3 linked regions of the Canis lupus familiaris genome follow. The protein of the gene in region 1 purifies or fractionates together with the protein of each later gene. This does not show direct contact. Links are inferred from orthologs where the notes say so. Each region holds a gene or a part of one and is shown on either strand. Other genes may lie near its edges.

What was found. Proteins that work in one complex are often made in the same cells at the same time.
Region 2: the proteins of TGFBR1 (region 1) and USP15 purify together in Homo sapiens (affinity purification with western blotting; 4 studies listed by BioGRID). This does not show direct contact. The link is inferred for Canis lupus familiaris from reciprocal best matches to the Homo sapiens genes TGFBR1 and USP15.
Region 3: the proteins of TGFBR1 (region 1) and SMURF1 purify together in Homo sapiens (affinity purification with western blotting; 3 studies listed by BioGRID). This does not show direct contact. The link is inferred for Canis lupus familiaris from reciprocal best matches to the Homo sapiens genes TGFBR1 and SMURF1.

What each region holds. Positions count from the first base shown.
Region 1 is NC_049232.1:56,548,369-56,552,049, forward strand, and holds part of TGFBR1 (TGF-beta receptor type-1), read left to right. Parts: intron 1-323; coding exon 324-454; intron 455-3,681. UniProt on the Homo sapiens protein: Transmembrane serine/threonine kinase forming with the TGF-beta type II serine/threonine kinase receptor, TGFBR2, the non-promiscuous receptor for the TGF-beta cytokines TGFB1, TGFB2 and TGFB3.
Region 2 is NC_049231.1:5,996,333-5,999,538, reverse strand, and holds the end of USP15 (ubiquitin carboxyl-terminal hydrolase 15), read right to left. Parts: intron 2,601-3,206; coding exon 2,418-2,600; 3' UTR 567-2,417; downstream 1-566. UniProt on the Homo sapiens protein: Hydrolase that removes conjugated ubiquitin from target proteins and regulates various pathways such as the TGF-beta receptor signaling, NF-kappa-B and RNF41/NRDP1-PRKN pathways.
Region 3 is NC_049227.1:10,567,778-10,571,458, reverse strand, and holds part of SMURF1 (E3 ubiquitin-protein ligase SMURF1), read right to left. Parts: intron 3,620-3,681; coding exon 3,505-3,619; intron 2,250-3,504; coding exon 2,071-2,249; intron 496-2,070; coding exon 358-495; intron 1-357. UniProt on the Homo sapiens protein: E3 ubiquitin-protein ligase that acts as a negative regulator of BMP signaling pathway. Mediates ubiquitination and degradation of SMAD1 and SMAD5, 2 receptor-regulated SMADs specific for the BMP pathway.

The DNA of each region.
Region 1 (3,681 bases):
TAAAAACTATCATTTCTTGCACATGAGGTGAAAATGTTAATCAAGTCATCATAGCTCATAGTTAACCGTCATTAAAATAGCCTTTGCTGATCCCCTAGTGATATGTAGTTTCAGAGTGTGGGCCCAGTACCAACTCAGAGAGATGGGTTGTTGATGCTTGTTGATGCAGATGTGGATGAGATAGAGCAAGCTAGAAGCCCTGTTCCACTTCGCTAATTTATTAATGGAACCCTGAACTAGGACTCTCAGCTATTCCTGGACAAAGAATGATCTGGCATTAGCTGAGTAAATTCTTCAAAAACAATTTCTTTTAACCAATATAGGAATTCATGAAGATTACCAGCTGCCTTATTATGATCTTGTACCTTCTGATCCATCAGTTGAAGAAATGAGAAAAGTTGTTTGTGAACAGAAGTTAAGGCCAAATATTCCAAACAGATGGCAGAGTTGTGAAGTGAGTATTGATTTTGGATACTACACAATTTTCTGAACTGCTTCTGCTTGTATGTGGAAATTTGTTATTTTTTTTTTAAGGAAAATAGACACAAGAATTTTTTTTCTTTTTCTTTTTTTTTCATGGCAGTTAAATCAGTGAGTGAAAAACATAATTTGGTTTTCCTGTTCAATCTCAAGTACATCAAAAGGGCCATGGAGCATTTGCAGTGACCATCAGTGTGTCAGAATAGTATTTAAATCTACCAGTAAACCAAGGCACCTGCATTTTCATTTTATCTGTTTTTTACATGGAGCATTCAGTCCATTTACGTTTAATGCACTTATCAGTATAGACGGGTTTAAATTCACCATCTTTTTTCTTTTCTTTTTTTTTTTTAAGTGCACTCCCTAATCCCTATCACCTATTTAACCCATCCCCCCACCCATCTCCCCTTTGGTAACCACCAGTTTGTTCTCTGTAGTTGAGAGTCTATTTCTTGGTTCCTTTCTCTCTCGCATATGCATGCGTTTGTTTGCTTTTTACTTTGCTTGTTTTTTTGTTTCCTAAATTCTACATATGAGTGAGATCACATGGTGTTTGTCTTTCTCTGACTAACTTATTTCATTTAGCATTATACTTTCTAGCTCCATACATGTTTTTGCCGATGGCAAAATTTCATTCTTATGACTGAGTAATATTCTATATATACCACACCTTCTTTATCCAGTCATCTGTTGATGAACACGGGTTGCTTCCTTAGTTTGGCTATTGTAAAATAATGCTGCAGTGAACATAGGGATACATGTTTGCCTTTCAGTATTTTTGTATTTGGGGTGTAAATACCCAGTAGTGCGATTCCTGGATCATAGGATATTTCTCTTAATTTTTTGAAGGAATCTCCATAATATTTTCCACAATGGCTTCACCAATTTGCATTCCCAGGAACAGTGCAAGAGGGTTCTTTTTTTTTCACATGCTTGCCAACACTTGTTGTTTCTTGTGTTTTTGATTTTAGCCATTCTGACAGGTGTGAGGTGATATCTCATTGTAGTTTTGATTTGCATTTCCCTGATGATGAGTGATGGTAAGCATCTTTTTATGTGTTTGTTGGCCATCTGAATGTCTTCTTTGAAGAAATATGTCTTCTGCCCATTTTTTAATTGGATTCTTTGTTTTTTTGGTATTGAATTGTATCAGTTCTTTATATCAGATACATCATTTAAAAATATCTTCTCTAGTCACTGGGGTAGCACAGTTCAGTTAAGCATCAGACTCTTGGTTTTGGCCCAGGTCATTATCTCAGGGTTTTGAGATTGAGCCCCATGTTGAGCTCTGCACTCAGCGCAGTCTGCTTAAGACTCTCCCTCTGCCCTTCCCTCACTGTCTCTCTCTCTCTCTCTCAAATAAATTAATTAATTTAAAAAAATAATTAAAAAAAATCTTCTCCCATTCAGTAGGTTGCTTTTAGTTTTTACTGATCATTTCCTTTGCTGTGCAGAAGCTCTTTATTTTGCTGTAGTCTCAGTTTATTTTTGCTTTTGTTTCCTTTGCCTCAAGATACCTATCTAGAAAAATGTTGCTATAGCCAGTGTCAGAGAAATTACTGCCTGTGCTCTCTTCAAGGATTTTTATAGTTTTAGGTCTCACATTTAGGTCTTTATTCCATTTTGAGTTTATTTTTGTGTGTGGTGTTAGGAAACGATCCAGTTTCATTCTTCTGCTTGTTAACTGTCCAGTTTTTGCAACACCGTTTGTTGAAGAGACTTTTTCCCATTGTATATTCATTCCTCCTTTGCCAAAGATTAATTGACCATATGATCGTGGGTTCATTTATGTTTTCTGTTCTATTCTATTGATCTGTGTGTCTGTTTTTATGCCAGTATCATACTGTTTAATTACTACCACTTTATAATATAACTTGAAGTCCAGAGTTGTGATACCTTCAGTTTTGTTTTGTTTTTTACCAAGACTGCTTTGACTCTGAGGTCTTTTGTGGTTCCATACAAATTTCAGGATTGTCTTAGTTCTCTGAAAATGCTGTTGGTATTTTGATAGGGATTGCATTAATTATATAGATTGCTTTGGGTAGTTCTAGACATTTAAAAAATATTAGTTCTTCCAACCCATGAGCATAGAATGTTTTTCCATTTCTTTGTATCGTCTTGAGCTTCTTTCATCAGTGTTTTATAGTTTCCAGAGTACAGGTCTTTTACCTCTTTGGTTATGTCTATTTCTAGATATTTCATTGTACTTGGCATAATTGTAAATGGGTTTGTTTCCTTAATTTCACTTTTGCTGCTTCATTATTAGTGTATAGAAATGCAACAGATTTCTCTACATTGATTTTGTATCCTGCCACTTTACTGAATTCATTTATCAGTTCCAGTAGTTTTTTTGGTAGAGTCTTTGGGGCTTTCATATGTAGTATCATGTCTTTTGGAAAGAGAAGTCACCTGCATTTTAAACGAATGCATCGGGACGCCTGTGTGGCTCAGCAGTTTAGCGCCCGCCTTTGGCCCAAGGCGTGATCCTGGAGTCCCGGGATCGAGTCCCACATCGGGCTCCCTGCAAGGGGCCTGCTTCCCCCCTCTGACTGTGTCTCTGCTCCTGCCTCTTTCTCTGTCTCTCATGAATAAATGAATAAAATATTACAAAAATAAATAAATAAACAAATGCATCCTTTTGATCAGGGCAGCCCAGAACAGTAGAATGGGTGCTGGATGGAAATTAAGAAGCCTGTATTTTAGACCAACCTGGCCACCATTTCTGAGTCTGACTTTGGGCAAATCATTTCAGTTCTCCAGATCCTAACATGCCTTTTAAAAGGAGGAAGCTAGATAAGGTGATTGGGAGGATGGGTCTGATGATTTAACATCTTATTCATCCAGTTGCCTGTGTGACCAGGAATGTGGGTAAAATGCTTTCCAGCAGTGTCTGAGATTCTCAATTCCAGGTCTTACAAAAATTTTAGAAATGCTTTTGTACTTGGAAATTTAAAGAATTCATAAGACAGATCTTATTTAATCTATACTTAATTGCTAGTTGTCACTATTATAATATTGGCAAGAGCGAGCATTTTCCTCCAGATGTGAAATTTTATAACTTAAAAGGAATAAAAAGATGGCGACCTAAGTAGTTGGTTTTACATCTCAAAAGAACATGGGACTTAATAGTCAGGACATCAAGAGTGCTCCTTGGCTACCTCCAACAAAGTCAAGTGTCCAGGCCCAGATAAAATACATCTC
Region 2 (3,206 bases), on another chromosome or scaffold:
ACCTATGAATATCTACTTGTCATTAGAGTACGGATTAGTTTGTTACACTATTTTTTAGTTTTTTTTTTGTTTTTTTTTTTTGCAGCTGACATTGACAAATTCAACATTATTAACAACATTTTCTATTTTAGAACACTTCTTTTAGTGGGAATAAAAGTTAATCACAGGCATTAAAAGTAAATGGTCTCTATGGACAACTGAGGTGGAGACTATAATCCAGGGCTGGAAAAAGTTAATTTTGGTTTTTCTTTAAACCTCAGAAAAATGGAAAGCCTATTAGTTGGTAGACAGCAGAAAGACTGCAAGCTCTGTGAGTGGAGGGATGCTTCTTTACTGCTATATCTTAAAGCTACAGAACAGTGATTAGTAGGTGCACAAATGTTTAATGAATATTTAGATTAAAAAATCAACTTTGAAACATATCCTTAATAGGATTTGCTTTACTTTGACATGCTTTCCTTTCTATTTTTAATTATACACTAACTAAAATGTCTATTATATAGTCACCTACCCATAAAATGGGGGATTTTTATCAAAAGATTCAGAGTAAGAAATAAAAGACTAAAAAAGGCCTTAAATAGCTTTATTGAAATCTGTATAAATAAACATGCACATTTCAAATGTAAACTCAAGTGAACTCAAGTGCAGACAAAATTTTAACCTCTGTCATGCAGGAGGTTAGTTTACATTAAAAAAAAAAAGAAGAAAAGAAAGAAAAAAGAAAGAAAGAAAAGAAAAGAAAAAAGAAAGAAAAGAAAAGAAAAGAAAAGAAAAGAAAAGAAAAGAAAAAAAAGAAAAAAAAAAAAAACAAAAACCCAAAGCAGCTTTTAAAATACCAGGATGAAAAACCAGCTTTAATATCAAGGTATAAAGCAAAGCCATGATCAACATACCTCATTTATCCTGGTCAAATGCATTTTTTTTTAACTTTTAAATGCTAACATAAATAAATAATTTACCAAAATGTGCACTCACAGAGTGAACTTTTATTTACAATACACAATTTATAATCTATTGTATTTGATTAGTTCAAGTGAAGAACATTATACTTTTTGCTTTAATAACAGTGGGACACAAAGCAATTTCTCAGGTAGTCGATATGTGAAATGTGCCCCAGCATTTAGATTTTCTATTAAAGGCAGTATTGTATGCCAATTGACAATACATTCTTTCAACTAGATCAAAGGGAAAAAGCAGCAAATGAAAAATGTTTCAAATGTTCACACATATTTTTGGCATCCTGGATCCTTGAATGTGGTGAACTAAAATCAAATTCAAGGTTTGTATGCTTTATATACTATACAGGTTCTGACTCTAGAACATGCAAATGCCAATTTTCTTAATTAACAAGTTACCTTCTGAGAAAAGCTGTAAGGCTATGGTGAATTCCATCAGGAACACACAAAGAAAGTTAACAGACCTACCTTTAAAGCCAATTGTCCATTAATGATTTAAAGGCCAGTATATTAAAAAAATTTCTCATCTAAGCTTGATGTAATTATTACTATGGATACAGAATACTATTAAGTCTGTCCTTATATTATAATAATTGGAAGAGCTAAAAGTTGCCAAATTACCAAAAAATGGGGTAGAGAAAAACAGACAGCAAAAATTTTAATTTTGGACCAACACCAGATTAAAGATATGCATTTTAAAGCAAGTCAAAATTTTTTTGAATATCTAAGGAATAGATCCCAATAGCAGTAAAAAATACTTACATTTAACTGAAAAATGATTTTAGATGGAGTGTGAAATCTAGAACCTGTTTTCCACAGCAGCAAGATGAACATAATCTGGATTTTTAATGATACTACAAAAGAAAATAACTTTTCCAAGATTGTTTCTTATATCATGATTTGGTTCTTTAATAGGCCCATATTGATTACCAGGGATAGATTTGAAAATTTGGTTTTCCAAGAATACTACTGCAGTATTTATGCCACATTGATACCGCAGCTAAATATCATAGTAGTAATATATGTGGCAGCCTAATGCACATGAACTAGATTATCCAAAAACTAAGTTCAGCCATAGTTTTCTTGCAGTATTATTAGAGCAAAATAAATGACCAACATCCACAAATTTAACATTTGTCATCAATTAACTCACATCCAAAAAATTAAAGAAAACATAATTCATCAAAACAGCAGCAAACTTAAAAGGGATTTATTTGTGATTTCCTATATATATTTAGCTTGTAATTACAAGACTGTAAATGTATTAAGAGACAATTTCTGTTAAAGTTTTCATTGTGTTTCACTTCAAGTACTGCACAAGTTAAAATCTGATAAAGGATTTACATTCGGTTATCTGAAACTCCCCATCTCAGACTTTTGTTTAATGTGGTGGGTAACTTCATCATTTCAACAGATACCACCAGCAGGAAAGTCTCTCTTTTATGGCTTCTAGGACTTTCATTAGTTAGTGTGCATACAGTTTTCGTTTTCTATATCATTGTCATTATCATTGCTATCTTCATCACTTTCTAATGGGATGCCTGTGGCAGCTGAAGCACCTTTAGTTTCTCGGTCAAGAGGAAAAAAGCCAGTTCCACTGAAAGTGTCTTGTCTCTGGTAGAAAAGTACATATGCTGCTTTGGACTGTTGAAAAAACAAAGCATGTTAAAATGGTCATGATTCTCAAAGATCACATTAAGTATACCATAAATGTTTCAGCTGGTAACCAAAAGACTTTGGTGACAGAGCCTAAATCAAATTTAAAAATCACAAAGGGTCAAATGGAAGTTACTAAAATTGGTTTATATATAAGACAACTTCTATGTATAAAGAAAGAATACTCACTAGAATTAACATTTTTATTCTCTATTACATTGATCGAACAGATAAGTAAATGCAAGTATATCACAGATTAACCCAGCTACTCTAACATGAAACAATTCTATGCCTTCTTCCCTCCCATCTCTAAGGAAAAGGTAAGCTTCTTTCTACTACTAATGGCTTCACTTGAAGTTTGCTATGAGTCCAGCTCTTCCTACCGTTTTAAGGATATTGCTCCATCCATCATCACCGCGTATCCTTACTAAGTCCTCCTCTACTGCACTTCTTAGCGTAACAAATACTCAAGTTGTTTCCATCTTAAATCCCTTTCCATTCTACTGCTTCCTCCAGGTGCCAGTCTGGCAGAGAGTCATCGAATATTCATTTTCACTCTCATGCATACTCTTTGATTCAGTATGATCTTTTGCC
Region 3 (3,681 bases), on another chromosome or scaffold:
GTGAAGCAGACTTCCTGGAGACTGCTCTCAAGGAAACTAATAGGCTCCAAGTCTCTCCTGCGCCCACCACCTTCACACCCAGATCGGAAGGCCACCTGCAATCCCTTCCACCACTTGGGTTCTGGGCTCATTAGTCTCCCTTCACCAGGTCAGCCCTGGTGGGATCGGGGCTCCTCTGCACAGAGCCCCACTGCTGAACCCGACTGCTCTATGACTGTGATTCTGATCAAAAGTGCCGGCCGGGATGGGTAAGCCTCAAACAGCGAAGGAACTTTGGCAATCTAAATGTGAACCCAGGATGGTCCCAGGCATCTGGACGTCCCCATGGGCAGCCACCACGGTTCCCTGGAACATTACCGGACATATTCTTTCTTGTTCTCCTCTGTGACAGGAACATTTCGGCCATTGGGTTTTAGTTCATGCTGAAGAATCCTCCCGAAAGCATTGTGTTCCACACAGAAAGTGTGGTCTAGCACGGGGGTGATATCATTCTCTCTGTGGAAGTTAGGACAGAAGACGGATGTCAGACCATGGCCACAATACAGCTGTGAACAGAACAGGAGCTGGAACAGTCCAGGAGATGGATGGACGGACCAATGGCATTTACTGACTGCTACCCCCAGAGCTGAGTGGGGACAGGTGGGGAGCCTTGGGCAGACACAGGGCCTGGGACAGGCCAGGGACACTTGGAGCGGGAGGTGCCGGGGGACCATGGTTCCACGATGCACCCTTGATACTTGGCTCCCCTCGTTCACAGGAAGGTGACAGTGGCTCTGTCATCCTGTGATTTTACAAGACACAGTGACCTGACTGCTTTGTAAACAGAGTCTATAAACAGAAGAGAGGGATGCATGAAGAGCCGAGTCAATGAGAAAGCAACCTGCAGGGAGATACACTCAGATGATACTGTCCTCCCGCCCCTTTAAGGCAGCCCCTCACACAAAGTAGCACATGAGAGTCTCGATGGGCTCCTCCACCTGCCACACTTCTCGAAACAGAGGGAAATATCTCCCTGCCCCTCACAGACTACCCATTTCCAGTAGGGCCACGTGAAGTGAGGTAGAGTGCAAGACCAGACTCTCCCTCTGCCAGAGCCTGGATCTCCCGCTGCTGTGGGATCAGTTCACGTGTGAGGACCTGTGACACGCTGCTCACCATGCAACTGGGCCCACTGCTTGCAAGGGTATGTTAGGATAATTCTTTTAAATTTTTAAAATTATTTTTATTTTTTAAAGATTTTATTTATTTATTAATGAGAGACACCAAGAGAGAGAGAGGCAGAGGGAGAAGCAGGCTCCATGCAAGGAGCCCGACATGAGACTCGATCCCGGGTCTCCAGGATCACGCCCTGGGCTGAAGGCAGATGCTAAACCACTGAGCCACCCAGGCTGCCCACGATAATTCTGAAACAAAGGTGACTGAATATGGGGATCCCTGGGTGGTGCAGCGGTTTGGCACCTGCCTTTGGCCCAGGACGCGATCCTGGAGACCCGGGATCGAATCCCACATCGGGCTCCCGGTGCATGGAGCCTGCTTCTCCCTCTGCCTTTGTCTCTGCCTCTCTCTCTCTCTCTCTCTCTGTGACTATCATAAACAAAAAAAAAAAAAAAAAAAAAAAGGTGACTGAATATAATTTCTCTTGATACTTTTCTTGTAGCAAATACTTTGACATAAGATACTTTGATGCTGATTTTGTTTTTGATACTTTCCCTCCACCTGCTAACCAGAGCCCCCCTAGAGAGTCAAAAGCAAACCACCCACCCACCTCTCAGGCCTGGGGACCAATTGTGATCAGACCTGAAAAATGTGAGGAAACAGCAAAAGAAATGAGCCTATGAAGTGAAACTGGCCAAACATCATGAAAAAAGCCAGTCAACAGAGTATTTCTTGTTAAATCTTCTTTTATGTTTCTGGTTGTAAATCAGTGTTTCTTTATTTCTCTGCACCAACTTCACACCCACCCCTCAAAAGCATTCACATGCACACACACATACAGAATGATAGTCTGGCACACAAGATGGGTGGCTGTGCACGAATGTTCCATGAACTGAACGGTGAGGCTGTACTTACAGAATCCACACCAAGCTCTTGTGTAATTCTGGGTCCACCGACTCCAAATCCGAGAGCTGGATGGGCTTCCCCAGGAGCTGCTTATAGAAGGGAACCGTGAAGCCCCCGTTTATGTAGTGCCCGTGGAACACAGCGAGACCCATGATCCGGCCCACAAAATGGAAATAAGACAGGTGGTCCTGTAGGGGGCACCAGAGAACACGAAGTCATTAGAAAAAGGCAGAGCCAGAGTGGAGAGACCCTGTGCTGCCTCCAAGCTTTTTGGGAAAACTGTCTCATTGCAGCCAGGCCCTGACTCCATCCCTCACAGGCTGTGCTCTCAGACATAGGAAAGAGAGCAGGTTAGGTGGTCAAAACTTGGAGCACGTCTTCTGCATGGATCATCTGAACATGTTACATGCCCTTAATTCAGACACCTGCTCAGGACTGCTACGTCACTGGCGGCACTCCGTGTGAAAGGATAATGCAGGGCCCCTTACTCCAAAGTTGTTAAGGATTTCAACACAGCAACTGCAGGGAATGAAACCAAGCACAGGTCCTCCAAAGAGCAAGGTGCCCAGGAAGCTGGCCCCGCGTCTCCCTGCTGCACCACAGAGAAAGCAAGCAGATGGCAAATCCCCTCCTTCTTCTACCATCCCTCCCCGAGTCCCTAGAGAAAGTGGAAGAGAAAAAAATGCAAAGAAGAAGAAACAGCAAAAAAGGAACAGAAAGGAAAATAAGTGTAAGAGGACCATTCTAAAACTAGAGCTGCTCTGGTTTTTCACAGGAAAACACACATCTCTGCTTTCCATTGGAATTATAATCAGAATTCATCAAAACCTCATTTCCATTTTGGTAAAGAACTCTGTCACACCTGAATGATTGTAGTGTAGAGCTGGTCCCAGGCTTTGCCTCAGGGGCCTTGGCCTCGGCAGCGGCAGCGGTAGCGGTAGCGGTGACCACGGGCCCTGCCCCACAGGACAGCCCCCAAACACCTGCTGCCCAACTCTGGGCTGGTCACGCAAACACTCCACACTTACAGCCTCCTCTCAAGCAAGCAGCTAAGACTATCAGCACTGGTGGCCCAAAAGGCCAGTTGGGGAAGTTCCCATTTTGATTAGGAGGAGGACCGACTATGTAGCCCACGTCTCAGAATGACACGGTCAACAAACACAGTCCTACTACCTCAGTTCCCCCAATTGGTGATTAAAGGGCTCTGAGCATTCCGAGCAGCTCATTTTCACTTCTGTCTTTGAAAACAAAATACCCAGTGATCCCAGGCATGGGACACACAGGAGAGAAAGCCTCCATCTCAATCCAGTTCCCACTCTACCTTTCAGTATCTATTGTCAGAGACTTTGCATAAGTCTACAATGAATAAACTGAGACCAAACCTGAATATCTATTTACAAAAATTTTCCAATTCACTCCCTCTTTATAAGCGTGAATACTTACTGGATTAATTGAAGAATCCGGGTTGATTTGCAACATGTAAATGTTGTCCGTAGAATATTGGAAGAGTCCATAATATGGATTCAACATTTCATGGCATAATAAATAAAGCCACTCCCTAGGAACAATAACATGAAAGCCATTTTATACGTGTGAAATATCTAATCTTATGTCTTACCC